Linked DNA regions of Alligator mississippiensis. The protein of the gene in region 3 binds, or shares a complex with, the protein of the main gene of each other region. Links are inferred from orthologs where the notes say so. Each region holds a gene or a part of one and is shown on either strand. Other genes may lie near its edges. The genes, in order: RASSF5, SAV1 and STK3.

Region 1 (7,532 bases), on a different chromosome or scaffold from region 3:
TTTAATTTCCCAGCTATCTCAGGAGGAAAAAAAAACAACCTGATTAGACTCCCATGAAACCTCCTTTTCCAAACTGCAGCAGATGGGTAATAAAATGGACCTACGTTTTAGCTCAGAAGAAACGTTCCCATTTCATTCGCTGCTTCAGCTAAAAAGGTGCCTTATCTCTGCTTCTTTCGTTAGAGCTGGGAAATGCATCCGTAAGCAATTCAGCACACAGAGCAACCTGCAGAGTGAATTTAAAGAACAGAAACTCTTTCCCCTCATCAATATTGAGTGTACAGCGAATCTAGATCCACATGTGGAGCCCGAGCACACACTGTGCTGCAGCGTTGGCATAACCTCTGAAGCACGCGTCCCCTGCCAGACACATTTTACGATGAGAAGCCCTTAATTATATGCAAGCACATCAGGATTAGATGCGCTTTACGATGTTCGACATGCTGCACAAGGCAGGCTCGGAAAGTGAACAGCTAACCATGAACACAGAGGGGACAGAGAGAAGTCGCCGTGCAAATGGGGAGCTGTTGAGAAATAAAATACAGATCCAGTCCAGCTCAAGTCATCAGTCCTGTCTTTGGGGAGGAACAATTTAATTACTGACTTCTCTACTCTTGTAACCATTAGTACAGTAGTCACATGGAAGTTGCAATCAGAAACAGTCATTTCCAGCTGCTTCAACAAGTAGACGCAGGGTGAAGGTTAAAACACCAGTGAAAACCAAGGTCTATTTATCAGCCGCACACAAAGGGAAAGAATGAGCAGTTTGGCAGCAGCACGGCTCACAAGAAAATGCAACTCTATCCACCATTAAGTTTTCATACCTACAAAAATCAGCCATGCATGTTCCCATCTGCGCTTCTAGCGTACCACCACGATCGTTAAGTTCAATCAAATCCCCCCCACGTGTAACATTTCCAAGATTTCCTTGAGACTACGGAGAGAAAAAAAACCCCTCCCGATATGACAGGGATATGCTGGCAGTAACACGTGCACCATGCAGGGGCACTACTCTTCTAGGGGCCAGCAAGTGCAGCTATCGGGATGGCTTGGTAAAGAGCACAATACACTGGGACCCAGGAAGAAGAAGTCTGTTCCCAGCTCTGCTACCGGTCTGCTGACCTTGGGCATGTTGCTTCATCGCCTCGTGCCTCAGTTTCCCCACCTGTATAAAGGGCATAACAACACTGACCTCCTGCACGAAGATTTCCCATAAAGTCTTTGACAGATAGTGGGTAAAGTTACTGCTCATTCCCACCAGGACCCCCATGGCTTTGTTCCTCACTTCTGCTTGCCGTGCTTCACAACACCGACTGTTATGACATGTCACCAGCCCTCCCAGAATCGCCATTTTTCTTTTCTCCAGCCAAAACGCCAGATGGTACCTTAATACGGTAGTGACCAAAACGACCCCTGCAAGCTCATTGCTGCCACAGATTCGCAGAGCGTGACGAGCATCTTTGCTGCCAGGCTCGGCGAAGGGACCCGACTAATTGTTCTCCAAATGCCCTTCGCAGCCACACGACTAAACGGATACTGCCACGCTGGATCCCACCCCACACCCCTTCAAATGACATCCCGCATCCACCTAGTCGGTGCAAAAAAACCCTGGCGGCTGCTCCAGAAGCTAAACCTGCAAAACATCCCGAGTGCCAGGTGAGGACACGGCGGGGGCACAGGGAGGAGCCAGGCGCGCTCCTGGACCGCGCTGTGTAGCTGGGGACGGCGGAGTCAGCCGCCAGGGGAAAAATCCCAGACAGGCGGAGGTAGTCTGCTCCTGGCTGGGGAAACTCCTGCAGGCAGGGACGCGAGCCAGGGGCCGCCTTCCCTCCAGTCAGTCCCCGGCTCCTGGGGCGTGCAGCTGGGGACGGTCTGAGCAGCACTGAGGGAAAACCAAAAGGTCAATCAGACGGAGGGCATCTAGCCCTCGCTGGGGCAGCTCCTGCAGGCAGGGGCTAGCTTCCCCTCCAGTCAGTCCCCAGCTCCTGGGGCGTGCAGCTGGGGACGGTCTGAGCAGCACTGAGGGAAAACCAAAAGGTCAATCAGACGGAGGGCATCTAGCCCTCGCTGGGGCAGCTCCTGTTGGCAGGGGTTAGCTTTCCCCTCCAGTCAATCACTGGCTGACGGGGGCATGCAGCTGGGGACGGTCTGAGGCAGCACTGAGGGAAAACCAAACCGCAGTGAGGCAGAGGGCATCTATCTACCCCTTGCTGGGACAACTCCTGCAAGCAAGGAGGCAGGACAGGGGCAGGCTTCCCCTCTAGTCAGTCCCTGGCTCCCACCCGCACCGTGCACAGCTGGGGAGAGAGGTCAGGCAAGGAGGAAAGAAGAAGCCCAGTCTAGGCGGAGGGGGTCTATTCCTGGCTGGGGCAGCTCCCGGGACACGCAGCCGGGGACGGTCTGAGGCAGCGCAGGGGGGAAAAACCCAACCCGCAATGAGGCAGAGCTGCGGGACAGGACAGGGCAGGGGCTCCCCCCGCCCCGTGCACAGGGCAGGCGAGGAGGAGAAAGGAAACCCAGTCAGGGGGAGTCCGCCCCTGTGCAGGCAGGGCTCCCCACGCAACCCCGGCTGGGCAGGGAGGCAGGGAGGGCGGGAGCAGGCAGGGTGAGGAGGGAGGCGGGCAGGTGGGGAGCGAGGCACTCACTGGCGCAGCGCAGGGCCGGGGGCCGCACGGCGCCGCCGCACAGGTCGCACCATGCGAGGCGGGGCGCGGCGGGCTGGAAGCGGTGTCCGTGGCCGCGCTCGGGCGGGACGCGCGGGTCCCGCGGCTGCTGGAAGATGGTGCGCACGTCGGGCAGCAGGCGCGGGGCGGCCCGGCGCAGGCGCTGGGGCAGGGCCGGGGGCTTCCCCGCATCGCCGTCCTCCTCGTCCCCGTCCCCGTCCCCGTCCCCCGGCAGCAGCGGCGGCGGCGGCAGGCGGCGGGCGCGCGGGGGCTCGCGCTTGGCGCGGCGCCGCTTCCTCGCCTCGGGCTCCGCGTCCAGGCGCAGCGCGCGGGGCAGCTGCCCCACCAGCGCCATGCAGCACCGCGCACCGCACCGCACCGCACCGCACGAGCGGGAGGAGCTGGAGCTGGAGCCGGAGCCGCGGCCGGGGGAGGAGACGCGCCGGGCGCCCGCCCCTGGAGAGCCAAGGCTGGGCAGGGCTCGGCTCGGCCTCCTCTCCTTCCCCCCCCAGAGGCTGCGCTGCTGGCCGTGCCCGCCCCCGCACCGGCCGGGCGCCCCGCACCTGTTGGCGCAGAGGCTCCTGCCCCGACCCGGCTCAGGGGCGCACAGACACAGGCCGCGGGCCCTGGGGCAGCTCCGGGTGCCAGCTCAGTGCGGGCTCGGGCCGAGTGTAGGGGCTGATCCTGCCTCATTGCTTCCAGCCCAACTCCTCGAGGAAAGGGGAGGGAGGTCTCCCCCGTGTCTCCATCCCCGGGCAAACCCAGGATTGCGAGAAGGGGGTGCCTACGCTGAGGGGCATCGTCCCCTCCAACACCGCCCCTATTTTTCTCGAGGTCAGAAGAAGCTGGGTGCTAGGCCGGGCGATTCGGTTTCAGACGGATGCCAGGACAGAAGTGTACCGGAGGGTTGTTCTGCCGTGAGCGGAGGGTTTTCTTTTCTCAGCAGGAAGGGGTTGATGTCGCTTTTGATGTCCAGGCTGCTGGTTGCGAGCCATCTTCCAGGTCCTGAAGGCAACGCAGAAAGCACAGCTTGGATCCATGTTCAACCATGAAAGCTCAGAAGGGTTTATTATCCTTGGACAGCGCTCAGTGGGTCTAATTAGCAATCGGTTCAACTTGGTGGAGCTTGCCCTTGACAGGAGACTCTCCCCTCCGTCTCCTTGCCGGACATGTCTCCCAACTCCTTCCTGCATTTATACTTGCGTGTGCGTGTCCCTTCCCCGTTTCATACCTACTCTTCTCTCTCTCTCTCTCCAAGATGTTCATTTTAGTTTTGCTGGCTAAGTTCACGCACTTGCACTCTCATTAGTAACTGCAGCAGTTGCAGCTGGTATTTTCATTCTCCCTTCCGTGTCTTTTTGCTCGCTAGTGCGAGTTTTATTTCTTTCCTTTCTTGCAAGGTCATCCAGCGGCCAGGAGGCTTCTTTCTCCCATACCGCTTTTCAACACCATAGTGTAGCATAACTACGGGCCCAACACAACTGCAATTCCTACGGGAACGCGTTAGGACCGGTCCGCAGGCTGCAAAAGAGGAGCTACCCTGGCAGGAGCAGCTCACAAACCGCAGCCTTGCCGAAGAAAAGCTCGCTGCGTTCGTGCAACAACCAGAGCCTTAGAAAGGAGAGCAGGTCGTGAACACCCATGGAACAAAGTTGAGACGTCATCGGGTAATCTGAATGAAGTCCATTGGCTCCCTCACTGCTGCTTGACTAGAAATGCTGCTGCCTCTGCCAGGCAATTGGTTTTAAACTTTGGGTAGAGCAGGATCAAAAGGGTGCAAGTGCACCACAGCATCCTCCCTGCCTTAGTCCCTTCTGAAAATACGGCTTGGCACCAGCTGTGTAAAGGGAGGTAGGGGGGTTTCCAGCACACCCGAATGCCTTTGGGAATCTCGCCTTAGGGGCGCTTTGGAAATCTTAACCTGCTGCCTAAATATTCAACGGTTCCACCCAAGCTGGTGAAGACCGGCTGCCTGTAATAGGAATTGGCTTAGTAACAAACCACTTTCCCCAAAGCCATGGCAGAGGCCAAAGGACTGTTTGAAAGGAAGCTTTGGGTGTCTGCGTCAGACTGATCACAACAGTCAGTCCTGCCCTTCCTTGGGAAGTAAGTTATGCGGTTCTGTATCTTAAGTGTGTTTGGTCACAGAGCAATTGCTGCAGGTTCAGCACTGCACGCCAGGTGGAGGGTTTGTTCCCGCACACTCAGCCCTCTCTCAGCATCCCTGAGTCTACGCCCCTGTGCCAAGTTCCTCCAGGTACAGACTGACGTTGAGCTCTGTGTCCACTGTCAAGAGGACTGGGGTCTGCTCCATGGCACGTGCTCCACGATACTATAGAAAGCAATGACCCACTTAAACACTTTTCCTTCCTTTTCTTGCAAGTAAGATTTGGAGACTGTGAAAACAAAGATATTTTCACGGCTGCCCAACCACTTCAAACTTTGGAGAGTCTAAATTCTTATTCCCGGCACTTAGGGGCTGGGGATCCACAGGTCACGGGCATCACCACATCTCGCTGAACTTATTGGGAACTGCACATTTGCAAACTTAGTGGCTAGGGAAAACCAAACTACCAAACCCCTTATAAAGCTGCCTGCCTCCAACGTCTGAAAGTTTCACTGCTGCCTTTTACTTTCATGTGGCACATGGTGGGAGGCAAGTGAAAACAAACTCTCTCATTTCCCATTGCTGTCTTCCAGGCGCTAGCACTTGCTAGTATTTGCCAACAGTGCCAGATTATGTTTATTTTATTTTTTAAAAGCTTCCATTTGAATTTTAAAATATCCCCACAGCCGTTCTATTGGGTGCAGACTTACAATCACAAAGCCAAAAAGAAAGGCCAAGCCTCACCCGGCTCTTTTTAAAACAACTATGAGTGTTAGAGGTGGGTGAACAAGAACCGCGGAGAGGACCGTCTGCCCTGTCTGCTCCAACTCCTGAGCCTTTGGGGTCATTGCAGTTTTCTCCAAGTCTTGTTTCTAACCGGGCTGAGTCTAGCTGGAAGGCACAAACTTTCCCCAGTTATAAACTCTGACCTCAAGCGTAGGGACAAACTGATCCTAGGTGCCTCCATTTCCATATACAATAAATGCAATATTACCAATTCCTGCTCCCTTATTTGGAGACCTAGCACTTCTGAACGCCTCTACCCCATTGCCTGGAGTCAGGTGATGGCATGAGCATTTCAGCCTTCACAACGGGGAATAACCCCACCTTCCTATCTCCTGGTGCCTGGAGGCATTAGGCAATCAGCGCAGAGGGCAAGCCTCTGAGTCGGAGGTACCAGAGAAGTGCTTGGCATTAAGAAAGGGGTTCCTACTGCATTTTACCTGGACACTGGGTGCAAACAACTGAGCAAAAGTTTCCTATAGGAAATTCCAATAGACTGCTCCAGCTGCTCTCTAGCCTTTTCTGCTTGGAAAACCAGCAGTCACGGTACCTGGCACCCTCAGAAGACAGCAACCCGTTCTCTGCTTCAACACACCCGCTTTGTCTGTGCACAAGGCTTGTACTTGCTTTAAACTAGGCTGCCATAGCTCAGATGGATCCGCTCCAATAGTGTGGATGCCGTTACAGAGGTAGAAGTGCATTTATATGACTGTAACCTTATTTCCCATAGAGGACGGGGAATACATTTTATTGCTATACAGCGCCTTTATACCAATATCCCCGCAGTTGGAGTTCTACTGGTGTAACTACACAGGGACAAATTCACGCTCCCAACCAAAATAGCTCTGCTGCTACATAGTCGGAGGGTTGACTAGGCCCCAAAAGCTAGCTGGAACTAATTAAATTTTCCCACTCCAATTATACTAGCACTGTAGAGCTACACAGAGGGATCACGTGAAGTGGGCAACCTGGAATATTTTCTTCTCACAAACGTGGCTTGCCTTCTAAGGAAGCGGAACACCTCAAGGAGGTACAGGTCTAACCACCTGATATGCATACCTCAAACAAGCCTTTTGGGAAATCAAAAATCTGAGTAGCAAAAGGATTCTGCCAGCTCAGACGTCCCTGCAATCTCTGCTTTGGAAAACTCATTTTTATATGCCTTTTGCACTGAGAGGAGAGATTATAAAAAGGCAGCACAAAGGGCAACAGCGGTCTTAAAACACAGCTCTATATTCTTTGCAGACCTGAAACTATAAAGCCTTTGAGCGTCAGGCTGCTGCATGCCCGAGAAGCCTAGGCTCGTTTATAAATCAGGAGAGAAAGGCACAAAGTAGTAGTGATCCGGCCAAGATCAGATGAAGAGTAGGAACAGAAAAACAGCCAACTTCCACTCCTGAATCCAACCGAGAGAGGATTCTTCCTTCCCTAAACTAGGATTCCTGATGCACAGAGCAGTTCTTTGTCCGTAACACTATCTATAGCGCTGGACCCCATTACCGCAGTACCCGAACGCTTCACAATCTTTCATGTGCACCGGGCACTGCTATTACTCCACTGGGTAGATTGGGAACTGAGGCACAGAAAAGTTAAGTGACCGGCCCAAGGTCACATACGACACCTGTACTAAAGCAGGGAGATGAATTTGGGTCACAGACTAGCACTCCCAACCACTGGATCAGCTTTTCTCATATGTGCACTAGCATAAAACTGGTGCAACTTCACTGACTTCAGCAGAAATGCTCCTAGTTTAAGTCAGAGGAAAATCATGCAAAGAGACGATTGCTTTCATCTCTTACACTGGAGAGTAAGTTTGATTTCTCCGTATCTCTGTCTCCCATTGTGGAGTTTGGCATGAACTGGCGAGACTGCAGTTAAATGCTGGATCCATGTTAAAAGCCCATAGTGCCATAATCTGTTAACAGCAAGAGGTATAAATTAAATGAGATATTCAGTGCCACTCTGACCTGCACAATTCT
Region 2 (8,038 bases), on a different chromosome or scaffold from region 3:
CTCAGCAAAGTGGAGGTGGAGTCAGAAGAAGTCATCAGGACTAGGGACAGAAGTTGCACATAGTGGTTTAAGTGATCAGAAACTGTTCTAAGCCTTTAACAGAACAGAAGTGCACATAAACCACTTTCAAAATGGCTAAAACTGGGTTAAGATAAACCTGGTTGAACGTAATAAATATCGGACTTAACTAATTTAGGTCAAGCTGGTTTATGAAACTTCTGTCCCAGACCCCTTCCTGGTTCAAGTTAAATCACAGTCCCCTGACATCCCAACATGCTTTGCAGCCCTGAGCTGGGCTGTGCTGTGCTGTCAGTTGCTGTTGGCCCTGCCCCTCTGCTCCCCAGCCAGAGCAGTGAGGGCTGGCCAACAAGGGGGTGAGGGTGGGAAGCCCAGCTGGCGACTGCAGCTGGGTCTGCCTGGGGAAGGGGGCAGCCCCATCAGACTTTTTCCTGCTGGAGTAGGGGGGGTGGGGGCATGGGGAGGCAACAGCCTGAGAGGGACTGCCCCAGCTGGGGTCTCAGAGGGGCTTTAATCCCCACTTCCTCAGCTCAGTATGCTCCCCGTGCCCCCTGATCTCTGCTGGTGCAGGTGGGCAACAGCCTGAGAGGGACTGCCCCCCAGGCAAACCCATATGAGGTCTAGGGGGGCTGGAGGGACTAGTCCCCTGCCACCTGTGAACATAAGGCCAAGCCCCGCCAACCAGACTGAGAGGTGGGAAGTGTTGGCAAAGTAAAACAATAGTCACATGTGTGCTGGAGATGGAGCTAAGGGAACAGGAGAGGGACTGCTTGGGCTGGTGTGACCAAAAAAAGCAGAGAGCTACATTTACATTATAAAACAGAACCAGTAAAAGGTGGGAGACAGGAATACCTAAGCAGAGACAAAAGACACTGAATGCGTGAGAGTCCTGACCTGCCAAAGGTGCTATAGGTGACAACAAGCACACTAGTGTCAAGGCACCCAAAGGGGTGAAAGTGTGCCTGTAGAAACCCAAGTAGAGATGAGGCCTGTGAGATCTCTGCTCCGACACCTAAGACCACCTGCCGATTCCCCAAGAAGGACTTTTTGAATACCTGGCTGTAAGGAGACACTTGGGATTACGTAAGATTTATGCAAGGCTTTCTCTTGCCTTCTTGGTTTACATTATAAGGTAGACTAAGTTGTGTGTGCTCACCCTGTGTTTTCCTGGGCTGCATTTTAGCATAGGCAAAGATTTTGGGTGGTTGCTTCTTGTGTGCTTGAAGTTGCAAATTGCTGCGTTCAATACGTGCTCAGTTCAGAGAGAAAACTATTCTTGTTCAAACTTTTATGAATTTAGTGCCACTACCTTTTCCCCCATCCACCTTCTCCTCAGCCTGGCAGCCTCGAGAGGGGGGCGGGAGAGGGCAGAAGCCTGGCAGGCGCTGCCTGCCCCCTTCCCAGGCAGACCAGGGTTGGGGTCTGATGTGGTCTAGGGAGAGTATTTAAACCCCCACCCTCCAGCATGCTAGCCCAGGGCTGGGACCTGGCCACGTCCCCTCCACTGGAGCAGGGAGGGGAGGAAACCTTGGCGCTTCAGTCCCTCCCCTTTGGCAGTGGCTGGCAGGCTGGGAGGCATGCTCTAGTGCCCCCGGCTTCTGGCCTGAGTCGCTGCAGGCATACGGCAGCATTTCCTGAATCAAAAGTGAATGTCTGTTCACTTGCTTCTTGGTTTAATCGACGCAGCTTAGACTCACCTGCAAAGACTGAATTGATTCAGCCTCCGGCTTTTTGACTGTCTGTACTTAGTCCAGAAGCAGCCTCAGTCTGGCACCCCTAGGAAGGAACATGTCCTGGGTTCTGGCCCCTGTTCTTGTCCACATTGCTGCTGGTGCATTTTGTGAAACCATATTTTGATTAAATGGGTAGATAGGATCAGAGGCAGAAAAGGATTTGGCTGCTTGGCATGACACAGGAGGTGAGGAGGGCACACTTGGCCTTGCTTTGCTGGGAGCCTGGTGGTTAGGGACCTACAAGAAAGCAGGAGATGTAGACTTCAGATTCCTTCAGATTGGGAAAGGGGTGGCTGGAGCATGGGTCTTTCATTCCCTGGAGAAAGTGCCCAATCAGCCTATGGTGCAAAAGTGGGGAGCAACATCACCACCACCACGTAGCCTCAGATCCCATTTCAACTTTAGGCATTTATCTGTGGAAGAACAGTGAACTTGCTGGATGCAGGAGAAAGGCTCCTGGATCTCAAAGAAGAGCTGTTATTTTCTTCTCATGGTGTCAGTTCATGTGACAGCCAGAGGTGACTTTCTTCCTACGGCCCTGCCAGGGGAACAAAGATACAACGTCCCTGGCTGGCTGTTCGTGCCACCCATCGTTATGGGAAAATCTCCTGTGTTGCTTTGCTTCTGCCTATAGGATGAGTGACACAATATCATCGGTGCTGTTGGAACCCAACCAAGCCCCCCGCTCCATTCGCTGCAGGCACTAGAAATGAAGTGTTGCAATTGTGGACATGGCTTCATTGGAAAATGTTTAGTAACACATCGTATCAATCATGAGTCTGATGGCAGTTTGTTTTGGCTGATAAGTTGTCCATTGGGAAGGATACTTTTTTGTGCCAGGTGGCATTTGTCCAGGCTGTCCAACTGCCAGCTGCTGCTTAGTATTTGAGGTGCACATCTGGAGAGCTGATTTCAATTCAGCTTGCAGATGTAACCTAAGCCTGCAGTGTCCAGGATTGATGCTAGTGTCTCCTGCTTGTGTTTGCTGTTGACTAGTATTTACATCCAGTATTTACCTACTAGGGGACTGATCTATAAAAAATGTGCAGCTGCGGAAGGACAGCAGGGTCACTGGAGAGAGAATTCGGTGAAGGAGTTTATTGTAAATCAGACCGTTTCAGTCTAGCTATATTTTCTGGAGAACATGGCCAGCAGCATGACAGAGACAACTGATTCAAGCTGAATATGAGTCAACAAGTGGGATATGAGCCAGTGGTGAGCCCTTGTTGCCAAGAAAGCTAGCGGCATCCTGGGCTGCGTTGGGAGGAGCATTGCCAGCAGATCAAGGGCGGTGATTCTTTCCCTCTATTCAGCACTGGGGAGGCCACATCTGGAGTCCTGGGTCCAGCTGTGGGCCCCCACTACAGAAAGGATATGGACAAATCGGGGAGAGGCAATGGAAATGGTTCAGGGGCTGGGGGACATGACTTGCGAGGAAAGACTGAGGGAACTGGTCTGATTTAGTCTAGAGAAGAGGAGACTTGGAGGGGATTTAACAGCAGCCTTCAAATCCCTGAAGGGTGGTTCAAGAGGATGGAGCTGGGCTGTTCCCAGTGGGAGCAGATACAGAACAAGGAGGAATGGGCTCAAGTTGCAGCAAGGGACATTGAGGTCAGATATTAGGAAGATTTTCCCACCAGGAGGGTAGTAAAACACCAGAACAGGTTACCCAGAGGGGTGGTGGGAGCTCTCTTCTTGGAGGTTTTCAAAACCCAGCTGGACAAAGCCCTGGCTGGGATGATCTAGTTGGGGCTGGTCCTGCTTGGAGCAGGGGTTGGATTAGACGTGCGGACCTCCTGAGGTCCCTTCAACCCTTGTTTTCTGTGATTCTGTTAGTCTATAAGAGGCATCTCTGTCCTGCCTTCTACCTGCAACAGACTGTGGTGGCACCACTGAACAGGGATCTTCAAATAAATAATCATAATCATAATAATAGTGTTCTTCATTGCAGAAGCATCAGTTAGTCAAAGTAAGCATTTTTGTTGGGGTGCACATACAGGGATTGGACACAAATGCAATTTCTGCTCAAAATGAGTGAGAGTGCTCAGTCATTTCTGCACAATTGCTGGCAGTCGGGCCTGGCAGCTGATGGAGACTTGGGCACAGCAGGGCCTGAACCTTTGCCCTGCTGGGTATTTTGGAGGGGAGAGCAGGGTCTCTTTGCTTTCTCCGCACTAAAAGGTCTCAGGGGGGAGTCCAGGATGAAATGGCACGTGTTGGTTTAAATGCTGGCCCACTGCAAGCCTGGGGAACCACTGCCTGCCTGGCTCCGTGGGCCGAGCCTCCCCTCTCTCCTGCCAGCCTGGAGATATTCCAGGGGTGGAACAATAGCCCTCAGGGGAAGGATGTGTGTCCGGTGATGGAGCAACAGCCCCCTGTGCATGTGTGTGTGTGTCTACGGGTGCAACAACAGCCCTCGTAGATGTGTGTGTCTGTGGGGGGGGTGTCTAGGGGTGCAACCACAGTCCTCATGGGTGTGTGGGGGGGTGTCTAGGGGTGCAACCACAGCCTTCATGGGGGTGGGGGGTGTCTAGGGGTGCAACCACAGCCTTCATGGGTGTGTGTGGGGGTGTCTAGGGGTGCAACCACAGCCCTCATGGGGGTGGGGGGGTGGGGGGGAGTGTCTAGGGGTGCAACCACAGCCCGCCTGGGGGGGGTGGATGTGTGTGTGGGGGAAGGGGCTGTCTAGGGGTGCAACCACAGCCCTCATGGGTGTGTGTAGATGTGTGTGTGTGTATGGGAGTGTCTAGGGGTGCAACCACTGCCCTCATGGGTGTGTGGATGTGTATGGGAGTGTCTAGGGGTGCAACCACAGCACTCATGGGTGGGTGGGTGTGTATGGGAGTGTCTAGGGGTGCAACCACAGCCCTCGTGGGTGGGGGGGGCGGCGCTGGGCTCCCTCAGCAAGTGCCCCTCCCCCACTCTCCTCCAACCGCCACCGAACCCACCACCCGCAACGTTCTACCCCGACCGTTAGCTGGGAGCGAAGGGGAGGGGAGCGGCGGGGAGCAGGGGAAAGACGGGCTCCCATTGGCTGCGGGGGGACGGGAGACCCTCCGTGCCGCAGGGCGGCGCTGTGGCGCAGGGCGGCGGCCGGCCCGGCTTCCTGTATCCCATCAGCCCCTGCGCGGCGGCGGCGCCCCTGAGGGGCGAGTGCGGGGGGCGGCGACGGCGGCTCCGCACATGGCGCAGCGGCGGGGCCGGGAGCGGGGGTGCCCCGGGGCGGGTGCGGGTGCGGGTGCGGGTGCGGGCGCGGCGCGCTGAGGGGGAGGGGGGATGCTGTCGCGGAAGAAGACGCGCGCGGAGCTGTCGAAGCCGGGCGAGGTGCAGGGCAAGTACGTGAAGAAGGAGACCAGCCCGCTGCTCCGCAGTGAGTGTCGCCGTCCCGCCCGCCCGCCCGCGGGGCTCCCCGGTGCCCCGAGACCCTCTCAAGGGCTGCCCCGAAATGCCCCCCCCCCCGGGCTCCACCCCGGGCAGGATAAAAGGTCTCGGCAGAGAAGTAGAGAAACACGTGTTTAAATGGACCGTGTTCCCTTAATAGTTTTCTCTGATGCTGGGAATCGTTCATCTATCTCTGTCCTGGGGTCGGCACTTGTTTTTCAGACTTAGACTGTCTTCACTGCCCAAAAAGAGCATTTTTCACCCTAGGGTAACTATCACTTGAGCCTGATCTCCCGGTGCAATCCAGCAGAAGCAAAGTCCCTGTCACTCTTACGGGAGACGGGTAATATTCGCTGCCCCTGCGCCAGGTGCGTCGCTATTTACCTCACAGTAAACGGTCGACCGCGTCTTATTGTCCCAAGGATCATCTCGAGGGATGAGCGTGTCCATCCATAGCTTTCGTCATTGAACGTCCTGGCGAGAAAGGAAAATGCGTTGTAAACCTGTCAGCCCTTAGGCTGTTTTGTTGAGAAGTAACGATAGCTGATTGTACGCTCTCACGTGTAATAACTTTTGCGTAGGTTTATGCGTGTTGTCTACTAACGCGCCATTCAAAACAAATGTAAAAGTTGCAGAACAAATTGGCCTCATTACCACGTGGGGTGGGTGGTTTCCAGAAGGCATAGTAACTTTTTTTTTGTTTAATTTGTGTCTGGTTGTAGTATCAGGTGGATGGTGTGATATAATACCAAGATAATATATCACTTGATGGAGACAACATTATATAGATAACACTAGCAGAGTAGCAGTTATTGTTCACATCCTATATTTGCTTCCTTAAGGCAGAAAAGTCAAGTGCAGAGGCAGTCAGGTCATATTAAAGTTGAGATTTTACACGCGCACAATGACAGCGTTTGGATGGGCTGTATCGTGGTGATAGTGCAGGTTCCAGTCCTGACTTTACCACAGATTTCTGTGAGACTGTGGGCAAATCACTTACATCGCTAGTGAGAATACGTGAACGCACATATCCTGGTACGGCACTGAACAGGGAGTGGGAAAGTTGGGTTATGTTCCTAGTTCTGCCGTTGAGGCGAAGTGGAAAAAGTTGATTCCTACCCAACATAGCTGTGCCATCAAAAGACCTTTCTAAAGATGCATTTAAATAGGCCAAAAAGGTGCATTTATCCTTTTGTTTTGAGGGTTTTATTGTATTGGAACACGCCAGTATAGCTACATATACAAACATGAACTAGGAGTGCTTTGCCAGTGTACTGTAATGCAAAGGGCAAGGTTTTTTTGGGGTGATCTCTCTTCTTGGATCGACTGCAGGGTTGGGATGAAGTTAGAGAGGCTTGGGAATGCAAGACATCCTTCATCAGGTCACTTCATCAGCATGCAGTAATGGCATTCTGGATTGAGGTTCACGAGGCCCTGGTAGTGAAGAGATGACCTGACTTGCTAAATGACTTTGTGGTGTTGGTTTCTTAAACTTTCCATGCCTCTTTGGTCTGTCTCAGGTATTTAGAGTCTAAGCTTTTTGGGGCAGGTGCTTTTTCCTAACAAATGTATAAATGCGCACAGTACCAAGCACAGTAGAACTGTGGTCTTGGTTAAGTACACCTAATTTCTGAAATTTGAATTTGCTATGCACAGAACAAAAACAGAGTAAAAACCTCTTGTCTAAAGAGTTCACAAACTGATCTTTCTTCAACTTGATAACTTATCCCCATAGTACGCATGAATTTTCTATGGTGGTCATGTCCAGATGAGCACGGATGTTTGGTTCCCCAGCAACATGAAGCAGCGGGCACACCTTGTGCCATTGCTGCTTGTCCCCAGGGACCACTCATGTCATGCGCCCTCTAGGCATGCCAGCTGTGCAGCCGCCATGATCCTGGAGCTGGAGCATGGCTCTAATGGGCCAGGCTCTAGTTTTGAGTGGCACATGCTGCAGCCATGTTCACTGCTTTGGTTTTTTTCCTGTGCAGGTTTTTTTGACCCCAGGATCTCCCTCACGCTGCAAGGTAGCAGCACAGGAAATACCCGAACGTGCGGTGTGTGGCACTGCAGATGGGTCTGCAGTGTCATATACCACACGGCTTCTCTTGTCTGGGTGTGGCATATGTGGCTTAATACCATTTACTTTGAGTTTCTTTCATGGAATAGATGTTCCTAGTTTTTTGAGAGAGAAATATGGGGTAATATTAATTTCTTTGATATGTGCTTTAAGAATAATTATTTAATATGGTATCCATTTGCACAATACAAGCAAGCTTATCTTCCTCTCCAAACTGTAGCTTTTGAATTTCCTGATTTTTAGAATAAAGTTTTTAGCTTTAAGTTCAACCCAGTTAAGTGTTTATATTCCATGTAATTAGGTTGTATTTTATAGCTAGAATCAAGTTTTTTGCTTACAATGTATTGTTGGTTCTGTTACAGATCTGATGCCTTCATTTATTCGTCATGGTCCAACTATTCCAAGACGAACAGATATCTGCCTTCCTGACTCAAGTTCTTCTGCCTACTCTGCTGGTGGGGATGGAATACTTTCCAGAAACCAGAGTTTCCTTAGAACTCCAGTTCAGAGGCCACCTCATGAAATAATGAGACGAGAAAGCAACCGCCTATCTGCACCTTCCTATCTTGCAAGAAGTTTGGCTGACGTTCCTCGGGAATACGGTTCTTCCTCCCAGTCATTTCTAACAGAAGCTAACTCCGTTTCAGAAAATGGAGATACAGGGGCCCGCTACTACTATGATCATTTTTTTGATGGACAAAGGAGGCGTCAACTAAATGATCGTGTACATGAGGACTATAGATATTATGAACACAACAATGATCTTTTCCAAAGGATGTCACAAAACCATGGGAGACACACTTCAGGCAAGTGGTTTTCTTTAAAT
Region 3 (7,365 bases):
AGAGGCAGTGGCACACAAGTTAGAACATAAGCAAAGTTCCAAACTCCCACTTCAGTGCAACATAGCCTGCAGGCCCATGGGTGTGTACCACTATAGTTCCCCAAACACCTAAATGTTTGCTGCTGCAAAACCCAGAACTGTCTCTGTCTTGACAGTGATGGACAAGCTAGGTTCCTAAGCTCTTTAGAGATCTACAAACTAAACATTCTTCTATGCCCCCTATTGGGTCTGAAGTGAAAAGCATTGTCAGCAAACACCTACTGGATTGGATCCCACACAAACAAGGGAAGAGAAAGAGGTGCTGGTGGTGATTTCATTTTATCCAATATATCCATGACTACAGTCTTCACCCAGAGTATGGGGGGGGGGGAAGGAAGGAAAAAAAAAAAAAAAAAAAAACAACAAACACACTCTCCTGCTCGAAGGGATTTGAACCTCATCTCTCAACTCCCATGCTTCAGCTAAAAGGCTATAGGTGAAGCATGTTCTCCTTCCTGTTGAAGGAATTGAACTTGCCATAAGGTAACTTAAATTATCATTGTGCTGCAACATCAAGAAAGCAAAACTCTCTCACCTAGTGATTAGGCCACTTGCCCGCATGGGCAAAGGGAACATATGGGTTCAATAAATACAGCAATATATCCATGGGGATTCTCACACTTAAAAACCTATCCTGGCTTTAGGTGTCCATGCCAGTCTTTTCTCCAAGAAGACAGCCAGAAGAAGAGTCATACCATTTTCATACTAGCTCAGATACTCATCCTGGACAAGGGAATCCTGGGTTTTATCTGTGCCAGTGTCAACCCATTCTTTCATCAGCATTCCCTATAAATTATTTTAAACCAGCACACTAAGCAGAGCTACCTGTGAATCACATTATTGAGTGCCTAAATATTTCCATGCAGTGTATACAGAAACTAATGCATGACTATAGCTGTTATTGTACTAGGTAGAACCCAAAAACAAGGCACGCTAAGCTCCAGGTGAGCCCTTACACCAAAACTGTAGGAGGCGATCAGCTTGGGGTGTTTATCATTTGGCATCCAGCTTGAGACAGCTAACGTTTAATTCAGAGATACTGTCCATCCTGCAACTCTCACTGGAATGACCCAGCTCTGGTCGGAGGTAGGCACGTGAGCCAGCACTAGGACCCACTGCCACTTTTCTCCTTGGTAGCTTTCTTGTGGCCACCACTTTCTCTCCATGGTGGCATGATGAGAGCAATCACTGCCAAAGCCCCCCACCACAGAACACCACCAATGCCCCACATCCTTAGGCCAGGTCCAACCATAAATTTAAGCCAGGACTCAGCAGCCATCACCACTTCCAAGGAGAAAGTGGGGGGAGGCAAGGCCAGTATTACCAACTCAAAATTTGATTGAGAGCCTCATGACATGAAGCCTGGCCCACAAACAGTTTTTGTACTTCTATAGCTATTTTTATAGAAAATTAAGAGTCAGTTATAGAACTGCTCTACCCCAATATAGCTTATTCCCTCTTCCGAAACAGCAATATGTTATGCAGATGATATAAGCGTGTTTATAGCTATATCTGTATCAAGGCAGGATTGTGCCACTTTACACCAATACAGCCAAAGCAATACTACTACGCGTTTAGAGAAGACCTTGGCATTATATTTACACCAGCCACTCTTGAATTCATATTATTACATGAAGATTCATTACAAAGTTTCTTGTGTTCATAGTTAGAGACATGCTTGAAGACACAAACTGTAAAGGCTCAAAATGACACAGGCAAAGAAAAAAAAATTAAACAAAAAGGTGAAGTGTGCTTATTGAAAGCCATTCTTGATTTTACCTCCCTGACTCACATAGGGCTGGAAGGGACCTCCAGAGGCTGTCTAGGCCTGTGCTTGTCAACCTTTCCTGTACCAGGACCCACTTGTAAACATGGATAGCCAGTCCCAACACAGTGCCCCCTGCCCACCAGTGTGTGGGGCAGGGGGTGGGTGTATGGGGCAGGGAGTGGATGTGGGGCATGGAAGGCCTCAAGCAGCCCTTTGCAGGCTCTGACAGCCTGCAAGGGAAAAGCCATGTTTTTCCCACATTTTTCTCCTTTAAAAAGGAGAATCCATGTTTTAAGTGTGTTGATTCATCTTTAAAAGTTTGTTCCAACCTTTTTGTATTTTCTTGCGAGCCACTTTTGGGTCACAACCCACCAGTTGCTGATCTAGTCCAACCCCCTGCCCGAGGTAGGATCATCTGTATCCAAACCTTCTCACACAACCATAATCTACAGTCACAAGACTACCCTCAACCCTGACAACACAGACCTAACACCCCAACCTGCCACAGGTGAAGCAGGGCAGCCAGGGGCCTGCTTCCCTAAAATATTGACAACGAACACCAAGAGGGCACGCCACAGCCCCCACTACAGGGGCCCTCGCTCTCACCAGCCTGACCCTGGGTGAAACTGACCCCACGTCTGGCGATGCGTCTGCCCCGGAGCAGAGGGGCAAGCCCCCGCAGCCAGGAGCCGCAGGTCCCAGCAGGAGCGCTGGCACAGCCCAGAGTCCCCGGCCTGGGGAAAGCTTAACGCCCCTCTCAGCAGAGGGAAGCGGGGAGCAACCCGCCGAGCCCGGCACTCCCTTAGCGGGACACGGGCCCGCCCGGGCGCCGCTGCAGGGCTGCCCGGCTTGGCCTTGCCCGGCCAACAGGAGGCTTTGCAGGAGTTTAAAACCCCTCAGCCTCAAGGCCGGGCCGGGCCGGCCCGGCCCAGGGGAGCTGCTGCCGCCGCACCCGCCGCCGGCTCAGCTCTGGCTGGGCTGCCCCCGGCCCGGCCCGGCCCGCGGCCTAGCCCCAACCGCCGCCGCCGCCGCCCCGTCCCCTCCCCTCGGGGCCCCGACCAGGCCCTCACCTCTTGGGCGCTGCCGGCTCCATGGTGCAAGCGGCCTGGGGTGTAGCCACACCCGCCCCGCCAACTCCGCACAACTTCGCGGCGGCGCTGGCCCTTTAAGTGGGACTCGCGCCTCCCCCGCGGGCGCCGCTCTCAGACAAACGCGGCTGGCGCCAGCCCGACTGCTGGTCGCTGAAAGCCCGCCCCACCCGCTCCCTCCTCTCATTGGCCCCGAGGGGACAGGGCGGAAGAAGTGGATTGGGTCCCACCGGCGTCAATTGTTTGACTTTAAGGACCCAGGAGGCGGAAGCGAGAACAAACGCCTTCCCCCAGGAGCAGGCGAATGCGGGGCTCGGGGCGCAGCCAACGCGTTCCCAGCGTGCCCCGCTCCGCCTGGGCCGCCGCGGGGCACGCTGGGACATGGAGTCCCCACAGGAAGTCGCTTCCTGCATGGGTTCTCGCCTCTGGCCCGGCTCGCGTCGCCTGCACGTGACGGGCACGACCTCGCCATCCCCGAGCTCGGGCGGGGCGGCTCCAGCGTGCATTGCCTGGGCGCAGCCGTTCAGCACCGAGGCAAAGGGCTCCTGGCGCGGCCCTGTCTGCCGAGGGGGCTTCCAGGCCCGGCTCCCGCTGCCCCGGCCAGTCACCGCTGCTGCATGCGGGCAGGAAGCACAGGTGTGTGGCTTGCGTGTCAGGACACCTGCACGTCTGGTGGTCTGGGCCCTTTCTCCACCACCGCTTTGTGCCGTTTCCAGGTTCCCGGAGGAGCCGTAGGTAGGGGTGCACCCATGGAGATTTTTTGGGTGCCATATCGACCCACGTCAGTCTGATTCGAACGTGCAGGCCGGCAGCTTGGAGAGCGCCGGCTGCCTGGTACGGCTGTTGGGGGGCGGGGGCAGGTCAAGGCCCCTGCGGTGCGGGGGGAGTGGGGCAGGGTAGGCACTGCACAGCCGGCGTGGTGCGGGGCACAGGATGGAGCCACGAGCAGCTTATCCAGGGTAGAGAAGGGTGGCTCCCGGTGCTGTGCGCACCCCAGGATGGCATGGTGGGGTGCCCCCAGATCTGCACAGGGGAGGGCGGGCTGTAGCCAGGGCAGTGCCAGGCTCTTCCTGGCAGGGGCTGGGCCGGGCTGCGCTTGGGGCGGGCAGCAGTGGCGCTAAGGGGAGCTACAGGGAGACCTGCAGCCACCCCAGAATTCGCCATAGCCCCTGCTCCTAGCGCAGCCTGGCCCCTTACTGGGAAGAGCCCAGTACTGCCCCAGCCTGCAGCATCAACCCACCCCTTGCCCCACATGCAGATCCAGGGGCACACAGATGGTGTGTGCCTCCTGGGGTGCATGCAGGGGCAGGAGCATCCTCCCCAGGCCAGCTGCTCAGGGCTTCATCCCGCACCCTGCCCCAACTGGGCAGTGTCTGTTCCTGCCCCAGCTCCACTCCCTCACTGGGGGACCTCAATGTGCCCTTCCCCCACAACAAGCTTACCAACCAATGCTGCTTTCCAAGCTGCCGGGCTGTGCTCCTGCTCATGTGCATGCTGCAACTGTGCATATGCACGTGGCATTTAAAATCTGCCACATCAGGCAAAAAAGGCCAATTCCCATTACTTGCAATTTTCCCTATCTCAGTGCCAATCTGACCTGGGACTGATGTATCGGTGCACCTCTAGCCTTAGGTGCTCTATACTCTGTCTTGAGACAGATTGGCCCGCTAGAGCAATCCAAAAAATTAAAGCAAGCACAGGTGTCCACTTCACCTTCCACATACCTTCCCCAAGGGAAGGTTGAATTAGGAAAAAAGTATGCATGGGAATCGGTGCCGCATTCAGGCGAATCTGCACTCGGCTTGTTACAGTGTTTGAACCTGATTGGAAACTTTCAGGGTAAATGATATTGTTGGATTCAGAACCTGGACTAGATTAAACCTTGCTGGCACTAATAATGAAATCTCACAACACCCCTAGGATGCAAGTAAATGGTATTTTTTCCATTAAACTAAATAAGACTAACAAAAGATAAGTGGAAGAGATAACAAAAGCTCTAAGGTCTCATGAGTCACTGGCAAAATCAGAAGTCGGCAGGAGATGATTCACATTCCTGTAAGACACATTCCCTTTCTAAATTATGCAATATAAAAATAGACCAGTTGGACTGGAGCTTTCACTGCACAAAGGGGCTTCACACTGAAGTTTGAAATAATGATTAGTGTAAAACACCTTGGTGTATCACAAACAAAGTTTCCCTCTACATCCCACCCTTACTGACCTTCACTTATTTCATTACAACTCCTAATCATTGGGTGGTCCTGAGCAAACTGTTAAACAAGTTTCTGCAGAAGTCCAGTCAAGTCAGATATCTTTACCATTTCAAAGCTGTAGCTTATGTTGTTGCTGCCTTGCTTCTAATATAGGCTATTTCAAGAAAAAAAATTATACACACGCACCCCCATATAGTAAACAAAACAGTGCCAGCCAATTTAGATAGAAATGCAATTTTCCCAGTATTTGGAGTATATTAGTGTGGCTCAGTTCATATTGGAAAATGCTGACTTGTGCAAAGTGGGCTCTTGAAGGATGCTATGAAAGCCTAATCATATTCTGTTGTACCATCGTAGTATTTAATATAAAAGCCTTTGTCTGTCTGCCCATAATGCTTTATTCGCACTGATTGGCTGACTGAAACAACCAATAAGAGTGCAAATACAGCATTGGGACAGGAGGTGATGACACAGCAGAGCACTGCCCTAATGGCAGGGACACAGGGGATGGAGTGGGGGCGAGGCCAGCACAACCAGTCTTGCCCCTCCTGCCCTGCTGCCTGCAAGCAGCAGCAGCAATGGAGTGGACAGAATGGGGGGGGGTGAGGCCAGAAGCACTGGCCTTGCCCCCCCTGCCCTGCTCCCTGCAGGCAGTGACTATGGAGTGTAGAGGGGGCAAGGCCACCAAAGCTGGCCTTGCCTCCCCCCCTTTCTCCTTGGAAGTGGCAATGGGGTGGGGGGGAGCAGGGTCAGGAGGCTGCAGGGGGGCAGGGGTGAGGCCACCAGCGCTGGCCTCAGCCCACACCTCCCCACTTTCATTGTCACCGCCTGCAGGACCAATGTATCAGCAGTGTGGGGAGGGAAGGAGCGGGCCCAGGCCTGACACAGGAGGGTCTACCATGGCGGGTTGAGAAAGGGGAAGTGGGCCCAGGGGTAGGCACATATGGGGCTCCGTTCCTGCCCACTTCCCTCCCCCCCATCCCTCATCATTCTTGACGGGCAGTTGGCTAGTTAAATATATTTATCCCACCATATGCAGAGCAGGGTATGTTTACTTCTTTCCCCACATGCCTACAAAATGGCAAACCTGTCACACCCATTGCTACATCAATATACTGTACCAGCAACAGGCTTTAAACAGGGACACAGCTACACTGACAGCTAGAATTTTTTTACTTGTATAGCAAAACCACCCCTTAGAGAAAAAAAAGTGATATACATGGTAGCAGTCTTGCCAGTATAATTAACTGTGTGTACATGAAAAGGTTCTGCCAGCAGAGTAATGCTGGTCAGGGGCCACACTGCAGACTGACATAGCTGTGCTGACAGAAGCCTGTACTGCAGACCTGGCCTGGGTCCTAGACACCAACCGTTCAAACTGCCTAGTGCTCTCACATCACATAATTGACAAAAGAATTGCTGCTTCTATTAGAAGTCCCACAGCTGCTAAATCAAGATCACTATGGTGTATATTTCTCTCCTTATATTAACATAAGATTGGGGGTGTCCTTATATTCCACTCAAAGTTGTGATGGCAGTTTGTACAGATGTACTCAAACTAGTTCACATGGGTGGTGACAACTGGGAAGCCAAAGAACAAACTGCCTGAGTATCTCCTTATAGCTTGTGTTGCATTCTGGAGCTGCCAGTTCTGTCATCATTAGTAAAGTTTAAACCTAGCTCAGGCACATCTACACAAACTACCACTAAGCTTTTTGAGTGTGGAAGAAACAGCTTTATAGCTCTTACTGCTTTCTATGACCTGGGACAGGAAAACATATATCTCTCCTACCTCAAGATAGCTCTTGGCTACTAATAAGCCCCTGCCTCAAACTACATTTCCTGCCCCTGGCCAAACAGAATTTTCAAAACCACATGGTTTTGAATTTAGGTGCCCAACTTACTTTGAAAGTTAGCCCAAACAGCATTATCTCTTACATCCTGTAAATCACATGCTTGACTACAGCACTTCATTTGCAAGCACGTACAAGTGCCAAATGGTAACCTGGGAAGCAAACATGAACTGCAAGGCACAGTTCCTTGTAACAGTAACTACGCAGAATTAAACACACTAAATAAGTTTGTGTACATTTGATGGTCTCATACCATTAATGAATAAATTACCTTTGTTCTGCCTTAGTCATGTCATTTACCAGATTGCAGCTAATACTAGAACAGACAGTTGTCTAAAAGAAAAGTGGAAAAAACTATATTAAAGCCACACTAAAATATGCACGTTTAAAACCACAAGAGGAAG

Evidence for each region.
Region 1: the proteins of STK3 (region 3) and RASSF5 are in contact, whole or in part, in a crystal structure (PDB 4LGD), measured with the Homo sapiens proteins. The link is inferred for Alligator mississippiensis from reciprocal best matches to the Homo sapiens genes STK3 and RASSF5. Residues at the interface, in NP_006272.2 of Homo sapiens: Phe437, Phe439, Leu440, Leu445, Leu448, Gln449, Arg451, Leu452, Leu455, Asp456, Met458, Met459, Glu462, Ile463, Leu466, Arg467, Tyr470, Lys473, Arg474, Pro476, Ile477, Leu478, Ala480, Met481, Lys484, Gln488; in NP_872604.1 of Homo sapiens: Trp369, Asp370, Ala371, Phe372, Ile374, Leu377, Gln378, Phe380, Leu381, Leu384, Glu385, Glu387, Glu388, Lys391, Ile392, Val395, Gln396, Lys398, Tyr399, Phe402, Arg403, Lys405, Leu406, Ala409, Leu410, Ser413.
Region 2: the proteins of STK3 (region 3) and SAV1 are in contact, whole or in part, in a crystal structure (PDB 6AO5), measured with the Homo sapiens proteins. The link is inferred for Alligator mississippiensis from reciprocal best matches to the Homo sapiens genes STK3 and SAV1. Residues at the interface, in NP_006272.2 of Homo sapiens: Trp429, Lys430, Val431, Pro432, Gln433, Gly435, Phe437, Phe439, Leu440, Lys441, Asn442, Leu443, Ser444, Leu445, Leu448, Gln449, Arg451, Leu452, Leu455, Asp456, Met458, Met459, Glu462, Ile463, Leu466, Arg467, Arg469, Tyr470, Ala472, Lys473; in NP_068590.1 of Homo sapiens: Tyr311, Ala312, Arg313, Ala314, Pro315, Asp319, Trp324, Glu325, Phe327, Gln328, Leu329, Leu332, Asp333, Gln336, Leu339, Lys340, Leu342, Phe343, Glu346, Leu347, Ile350, Val351, Met353, Tyr354, Ala356, Tyr357, Arg358, Ala360, Leu361, Leu362.

The regions. Positions count from the first base shown.
Region 1 is NC_081837.1:41,643,703-41,651,234, reverse strand, and holds the start of RASSF5 (ras association domain-containing protein 5), read right to left. Parts: upstream 3,034-7,532; 5' UTR 3,019-3,033; coding exon 2,646-3,018; intron 1-2,645. UniProt on the Homo sapiens protein: Potential tumor suppressor. Seems to be involved in lymphocyte adhesion by linking RAP1A activation upon T-cell receptor or chemokine stimulation to integrin activation.
Region 2 is NC_081825.1:298,447,648-298,455,685, reverse strand, and holds the start of SAV1 (protein salvador homolog 1), read left to right. Parts: upstream 1-4,996; 5' UTR 4,997-5,027; coding exon 5,028-5,121; intron 5,122-5,399; exon of another isoform or gene 5,400-5,500; intron 5,501-7,574; coding exon 7,575-8,018; intron 8,019-8,038. UniProt on the Homo sapiens protein: Regulator of STK3/MST2 and STK4/MST1 in the Hippo signaling pathway which plays a pivotal role in organ size control and tumor suppression by restricting proliferation and promoting apoptosis.
Region 3 is NC_081826.1:40,043,995-40,051,359, reverse strand, and holds the start of STK3 (serine/threonine-protein kinase 3), read right to left. Parts: upstream 3,047-7,365; 5' UTR 2,901-3,046; coding exon 2,878-2,900; intron 1-2,877. UniProt on the Homo sapiens protein: Stress-activated, pro-apoptotic kinase which, following caspase-cleavage, enters the nucleus and induces chromatin condensation followed by internucleosomal DNA fragmentation.